2 linked regions of the Tamandua tetradactyla genome follow. The protein of the gene in region 1 interacts with the protein of each later gene in a biochemical or structural test. Links are inferred from orthologs where the notes say so. Each region holds a gene or a part of one and is shown on either strand. Other genes may lie near its edges.

Evidence for each region.
Region 2: the proteins of ITGB2 (region 1) and ICAM1 form a complex in vitro, tested with the Homo sapiens proteins (4 studies listed by BioGRID). The link is inferred for Tamandua tetradactyla from reciprocal best matches to the Homo sapiens genes ITGB2 and ICAM1.

The regions. Positions count from the first base shown.
Region 1 is NC_135336.1:107,130,003-107,133,745, reverse strand, and holds the start of ITGB2 (integrin beta-2), read left to right. Parts: upstream 1-862; 5' UTR 863-1,060; intron 1,061-3,743.
Region 2 is NC_135337.1:91,498,888-91,502,630, forward strand, and holds the start of ICAM1 (intercellular adhesion molecule 1), read right to left. Parts: upstream 2,759-3,743; 5' UTR 2,708-2,758; coding exon 2,632-2,707; intron 1,086-2,631; coding exon 828-1,085; intron 1-827. UniProt on the Homo sapiens protein: ICAM proteins are ligands for the leukocyte adhesion protein LFA-1 (integrin alpha-L/beta-2).

The DNA.
Region 1 (3,743 bases):
GCCTGCCGAGGCAGCACAGGGCCGCTGGCTGCTCCCTTCCCTAGGGGAGAGAGAGGTCGCCCCCACACTGCAGGGGCGCTGGGGGACGGCTGACCTTTCACAGCAGGTCCTTCCGCCGAGGCCCAAGCCAGAGTGGCCTGGGCACCCCCCCTTGGGGTGCCTGTGGGAACGCGGGAGCTGGTGCTGCTTCATGAGAGTTTCAGCCCGGGGCCCCCCTGGGCTGGCCGTGGGCCAGCGAGACTGCATCCTGACAAGCAACCCAGGCCCAGGGTTTCTGGGTTCCCGTGTGAAAACCCCGGCCCCCCACACCAGGGCCCTGCACCTGAGTGTGCAAACAGAGCGGGCCTTCACAGGGGCTGTGGTGGCAGCCATGTGGTCACGTGGTGCCCATGTCCACTCTCTGCCCTTGACAGGGGCCACCACCCACCCGGCCCCGAGCCAACCTGGAGGGGACTGTCCTCTGCCCCCTTCTCCCCTTCAACCCTTGGGACACACAGCCGCCGTGACCCCCTCCTCACATGGTGGAGAGGAGACCAAGACCCCGAGAGGGTACCCCCCAGGCCTGCGCACCTCCACACAGTTCCCTGGACATGAGCCAGGGGTCAGCTCCCCGGCAGTTAGGGACAGGGCCGACCCCCCGGGTGGGACATGCCTGTCAGTCCTGCGGTGGGACCCCCAGGTGCGCCCAGGGACGTGGCAGGGAGCTGGGTTCCACTGAGGCGGGTCCCCTGGAGGGAGGTGAGGAGGCCGAAGGTGTGGGGGGCTGATGCGAGGGTCTGCCCACGTGCTTTACCTGTCCCCCCAAACCTCCGCCCACAGGAACCCGCCTTCCCCTGGGGCGGGGAGGCCTCGGAGCCCCGCCCCTCCCCTGCTTCCTTCTTCCTCCATCCCCTCCAGGGCCGAGAAGCCCAGCGCCTCCCTGGCACCTCGGTGCTGTAAAGTGAGCAGGGCGCTCCTTCATTCCCGCTCATTGCGGGCCAAGAAACTGGCGCAAAGATTAAATTAATCCCCCAGTTTCAGGAGCTGGAAAATAGCAGCAGAAACTTCAGAGGGAAGAAACGTAAGTCAAGGGGCAGTCCCACTCTCAGAGCACGGCGGATGGCTGTGATTTTCCCGCGCGGGGGTCCCATGCGTGCCCCGTCCTCACGCGGTGTGGGCCCGGCGGGCGGGGCCCAGCCCCAGCCTCCTCCTCCATGCCGCCCGGGCTGACCCCAGGCAGAGGCATTGTGAGAAAGCACCCGTGGAAACTGAGTCACAGGGCTCTGTGGTGGAAGCACACGCTTTGACAAGGCAGCCAGACTTTCAATGGCCAAGCTTCCCCGAAGCCAGCCCTGGGGGACTCGGTTTGAGGATGGGTTCAAAGCAGAAATTGAGCAGGAAATTGCAGTTTTGATAAGCGTCAGGCAGAAGAGGCGCTGTATGCTCCAAGGGCAGGTGGGGACCCCAAGTCTAATGGGGTGGGCCTGGGTGAGGCTCCCCACCTCCTGCAGGGGCCCCCCAAAGCCAGCCCAGCCTCTGTGGTGCCCGAGGAGGGGAGCTGAAGGGCAGGAATGCCTGGGCTGCCCCCGCGTGAGTGGATGAGGGCGTTCACTGTGCACCCCATCCCGCCCCCCCTTTCATGGATTTGTGTCGGTTTTGTTTGTAATCCACGTTCACTGCTTTAGTTAGTCTAACCACGTAAGTGTCCCCTACTGAGCCGAGTGGACACAGGACCATCACGTTTTCCTCCTTGATGACTCTTTGTTGTCCCCCTTCCCCTGGAGTCCACAATTGCTCAATGTTTTTACTTGCTTAATTTCCTCTGAATTTACAAAAAGTCGCCTCTTTCCTTCCTGCCACGTCAGACGCGCCCCCTCGTCGTGGGTTCTGACGAGGGTTGGGGAGCAAGAGGGCCCTGGGCCCCGCTGGCCCTCCCCCCCCGCCGCCCCCTCCTGCTACCCCCTCTCGGGGCCACCGCTCGCCACCCCCCCGACCCCGGGAGGCACCGGCTGCAAAGGGGAAGGCTGAAGGAGGAAGGAGCTCTCTGTGGGTTGGGGGGGCCGTGCAGGGGGTGGGGGTGAGGCACCAGCCAGCCTCGGGACAGCACGGGGGTGGGGGCAGCCCCAGCCTCTCGCACCCCGGCCGCCTTCTCGCCCGAGCCAGCCCCCACCCCGCCTGCCCAGGGACAGGAGTCGCCCTCTGGGGCCTCCGCGGTGCCCTGGCTGGGTGATCAGGGCGAGCAGAGGTGCGGCCCGGTCTTCCAGGGCGGGGGGTTCCGATGAGAAAGAAGCCCTCGGAGCCAGCACCCCGCATCCAGCGCTGCCGTTTCCTGCCACGCTCACCTGCCCCTGCGCCCCACGCATCTCTGGGTGCTGTGCCCGCCCCCCACCCCTACCGTGGGGCCACAGCCCAGTTGACATTGCAACGGGAAGTTACTGGTGGGAAGAAATGTTGGACAGCGGGGGCGGGGAAGGGCCCAGAAAAGACAAGGGCTGGATGGGAGGGAGGAAGTTGGCAGAGGCGCGGGCGCCGGGAGCGGGCAGGGGGCGCAGGAGGGGCCGGCTCGGCTGAGCATAGGCCACGCTCCCAGAGGTGTGGACCTTCCTGCCAGCGTGGGACAGAAATTCTAGGATGGGCTGGGACTCAGCACCAAGGGATTGAGAAAACCTTCTGGACCAAAAGGGGGAAGAGGGAAATGAGTCAGATTAAGTGTCAATGGCTGAGAGATTCCAAACAGAGTCAAGAGGTTATCCTGGAGGTTATTCTTATGCATTAAGTAGATATCACCTTTTTAGATAAGGTGTAATGGAGAGGCTGGAGGGAACTTCATGAAAATGTAGAGCTGTGTTCCAGCAGCCATGTTTCTTGAAGATGACTGTATAATGATATAGCTTTTGCGATGTGACTGTGTGACTGTGAAAACCATATTTACCTTATGGACAGATGAGTAAAACATATGGATTAAAAATAAATAAATAATAGGGGGAACAAATATTAAAATAAATTTAGTAGATTGAAATGCTAGTGATCAATGAAGGGGAGGGGTAAGGGGTATGGTATGTATGAATTTTTTTGTTTTCTTTATATTTCTTTTTCTGAATTGATGCAAATGTTCTAAGAAATGATCATGATGATGAATACACAACTATGCGATGATGTTGAGTTATTGATTATGTATCAAGAATGGAATGATCATACGGTCATGATCACATGGTAAGGATGTCTGCATTTGTATGTGGTTATGTCCAGTGCCCTCTCCTTGGTGGACACTTCCAGAAGCCTCTGTACCGGTTCGGTTCTGTGTGTCCCAGGGCTGTGTCTGGGGCTGGGCAGTGCAGTGGGGGGTGCACAGACCGGAGCTCAGGGCAGCCGGCCCGTGGGAGGCCCCCAGCCCCTCACCCTCTCCCCTCCTGGCTGCCCGGCGCCCCCCTGCCTGGACGGCCCTTTGGGGGCTCCCTCTCCTCCTGCCGTTCCCACGGCAGCTTTGCCCCCTACACTGGACCCGCACAGGGCCCCAGCACAGGGAAAGTCCTCCCTGAGTGTCTGATGAGGTATACGGAACTTTCTGGAAGGTGGAGGCGAAAGTGACCCAGACGGAGTTCCCTGGCTGATTTGTGGCAAAGATGACTCCCAGCACGCTGCTTCGCCCTCCGGCAGGGTGTTTGGCTAAAAACAGCCAGAGGCTCCCGTGCTCCTGGCTGCAGAGCCCGGGGACCGGCTCGGGGCTGTGGGAGCAAGTCAGCACCCACCACGCGGTGCCGACC
Region 2 (3,743 bases), on another chromosome or scaffold:
GGAGCTCTCTCATTATCTACAAATAAAGGGCTCCTTGTTTTACACAGCTGCATACTATGCCACTGCACATCCATACCACAGTTTATTTTCCCGCCCCTCCACCCCACAACTCGCCAACCCTTGTTGGAGCCGTTATCAGTTCATCTGGTTGTTATCAATAGGCTAAAGGTGCCATCTCAGGGGTATTTTAAATTTGCATCTTCATTTTTAAAAAGTCAGCTATACGGCCTTGCCGTGCATTGAAAGAGTGAGGCCTGTGAAAAGACATGATTGGGACATTTGGAAAAATTGGGATACAAGTCTGCATGTCAAAGTTCTTGAACTTGATAACTGCACTTAAGGTGGTGACATGAATGGCTATGCTTGTTCTCAGGAAATGTGCATGGAAGTAGCAACTGTTCAAAAAGCGTGATGTATTCAGTGTGCTTGCAAATGTTTAGAAGACAGATGGATTTCTAGAATGATACAACGAATGGGGCAAAATGTTAAAAGCTGGTATATCTGGGGAAGGGGGACATAGGTGTATCTATGTTTTTTGTTTGTTTTTGCGTCTTTCCTGTAAGTTTGAAGTTATTTCAAAATAAAAAAAAAATTTTTTTAAAGGGAGGCACATGAAACTAGCTGTCTGGAATATCGAATGTGCCAATTCCCTGCCCATGCCCTAAATTACACCCAAGGAGATCCAAAGAAAGGCTCCCAAACGGTGCTGGAACTTTCCAAGGCAGTCTTCCCCAGATCCACCACTGAGCACCCAAGGCCCTCCCAGGCTGCGGGGTGGGGGGTGGGGGTGGGGCTTGCGTCCCTGCCCTCTCGGGCCAGCCACTCACAGTAAACGGTGAGCGCAGTGGAAGCTATGGTCTGTTTGTTGCAATATGAGAAGCAGATCGCAGTGCTGTCTTGGTCCACGTCGCTCAGTTCAAAGACCTTCCAGTTGCTTCCATTGGCCACCTCCATCTTGGTCAGTGTGGTCTCCAGGCCCAAGAAGGAGGGGTGGTCACAGCTGGCACTGCAGTTCACGCGCACGGAACCTCCTCGGGGCAGGATGGCTTCTGGGGGGTCCACTGACGTGTGGGTACTTCCAGACCCTGGAAGAAAAGGGTTGTTTAACTCTAAGGAGGGGGCAGGCATATACAAGTTGGGGGCATCGACAACGTGTATTGAGCACTGACTGTGTGCCCAGCGCAGGCTGGGGGCCCGGGCCACAGCTGTGAACCAGACAAAACTCCCTGATTTAGTTGTGGGAGACAGAAAAGTTCACGAGTAAACAAGGCAGTCAATAACCAATGTCAATAAGGATTTTGACAAGAAACAAAGTGCTAGGGACAGAAAAGTGAGCGCTTACATGGCAGGGTGCGTTCTCAGCAGAGAGCTGAGTGATAAGGAGCTGGCTGCCCAGGGAAAAAGGAAGTGAGTTCCACATTAAGGGAACCGTAAGTGCAAAGGTCCTGGGGCAGCATGGCTGGGGTCAAGCGGGCAAGGAAATGAGGTCAGGCCCATCAGGCGGGCAGTGGAGGCCAGGCTGAGGACGTGTCCTTTATTCTGAATGCAATGAGAAGTCATGGGACTTGCAGTGGGTTCTGGGGTCCCTCCTGAGAGGTCAGGTGAGAGGAGCCAGTCTTCTAGGAACTGAGGGCTTTCCAATCAGGCTGGTGTTCGCTGCCTTGGACAAGTGGTTTCCTTTCTCTGGGCTCCTTCACACTCCCATCTGTAAGTTGGGAGAGTATAGTCACCCCACCCCCTTGCCCACCATGTTAGTAACTCCTGGCGCCCCACAGGGAGCAAGAGGCTGCAGGGAAGAAGGCAAGGAGGGGGTCATTTTCATTAACTCCGATCAGACCCTGGAGTCTCTCTGAGCTCCCACCCCCCAAAAGATTCCTGCCTTCTTAGATCTGCTCAGATCTAGCATGGAGGTGGGGGTGGAGAGTGGACAGGGACTACAAAAACCATCTGACAGTGGTTCTCAGATCATTCCCATTTCACAGAGGGAAATGGTGAGGTCGGGAGAGGGGTGGCTCAGCTAGAAAGGGTTTGAGCTGGCACTAGAGCCTAGAGACAAACTTCCAAGCTCCTGCTACCCAGCAGGACCATCAGTTGAGACTCGTTTTCCTCCCCCCCTTCCCCAGTCCCCAGCTGGGCTGGCTGAAGTTGGAGGGAAGGGCTGGCTGGGTGCTTCTCCCCGCCTCCCAGCTCTCAGAATCTGCCCCTGGGTAAGACCGTTCTGGAATTCCCCTGAGCGAAGCAATCCTGGAGATCCCCCGGGTCAGAGGATAAGGAACAGAAAGTGTGCTCGTGTGGGGGCTGGGGGGATAGGGTGGAGAGGGGTCCCTGAGCCTGTGCAGCTTGGGGGCGGGGTCCCCCTCGTTCCTATCAGGTACTGGCAGCCTCCTGGCGTCGCAGGGCTCTCAAGTTCTGCCTTTTACAACTGGGAAATCTGAGGTTCTGGAGGCGCGAGGTCTGGATTCGAATCCACCGCTGTTCTTTTCCGATCAGGGGTCCCCCATAAAGGCCCTGGGCCACTTCACTCGGAGATAAACACGTTTTCTAAGTTCGATCGGTCTTAACGCCTGCGGTCCCGGAGCCGCTGCTCCCCGACGGGGCGCACCCCCACCCCGACCCCCGCCTGCAACTCACCTGGGAGCAGAGCCCCGAGCAGGGCCAGGAGCGCGGGGAGCGCGGGGAGCGCGGGGCGGGTGCGGCCGGGATCCATAGCGACGCAGAGCAGGGCGGGAGGGATGCACCGAAGCGCAGGGCTGCAGGGCGCTGGCTGCGGCGCAGGGCGCGCGGCCGCCCTTTATAGGTCCTGGCCGCAGGGGGCCGGGGGCGGTGTCGCCTTCCCGGAAACCTCGCGCCTTCCCCCTTCGAAGCAGGCCTCAGGCATTTCCGGATCGAGAGGGCGCCGGGCCCGCGCGGAGTCTTTGCCGCTCGCCGGCCGCTCGAGCACCGGAATTTCCGTGCTGAGGCAATCCCGGGGGGCGCGGGGGGAGGGTGGTGGTGGCAGTCCCGTCCCCCCCCCCACCCCGGCGGGGTCAACCTGGATTGAGCGTTGACATGGAGCTGCTGAGCGCATGATGGCACACAGCGCTTCCGGCCACCCTGGAGAGGAGGGACGGGTTTGGGGTGTCCTGTTTTACAGACGGGTAAACTGAGGCTCCGAGCCGCGAAGGGATTCGAACCCAGGACTGAGTCCCCAGCTCGTGCAGACCCATTCCTTTAACCGAGTGGGGGCGAGCCCCTCGCTGGGGTGGGGGCCCACCCTCGGATGGAGGGCGCCTCTTCCCCCCAGAGGCATGTCCGGGCACCTCCGCCTGGCTGACCTCGAGATTTCCCGAGAAGTGGTGGAGGCAAGTTCAGGCACCTCGAGGTGCCGTGTGACCACGGGGGAGGACAGCGGGAGGCGTCGTCAAGTCCGGGGGGTCAAACGGCGCTCCGCACTCACCCCCCACCATGAGCGCGCCCACCCCCACGGCTTCGCTTCCCCTTTCTGCCAAAAAAGGAAGGAAGCTGCTTGGTCCTAACGCTCGGAGCCGCCTGGCTTCGGTGTGGTCTCGGGCTCCGCGGGGAAACTGAGGCAGCAGCTCAGCCCTTGACCCGGACAGAGACAGGGGGTGCTGGAACCCTACTCTTGCTCTCCGTAGGGCGCGGAGAGGGGCGCTTGTATCACTGCCCTTGGGTGCGCAGCTCCCGCCCCTCGAAACCTGGGAGCCGGCACTAAATATGCGCCAATGTTTACCCGGACTGGCTTC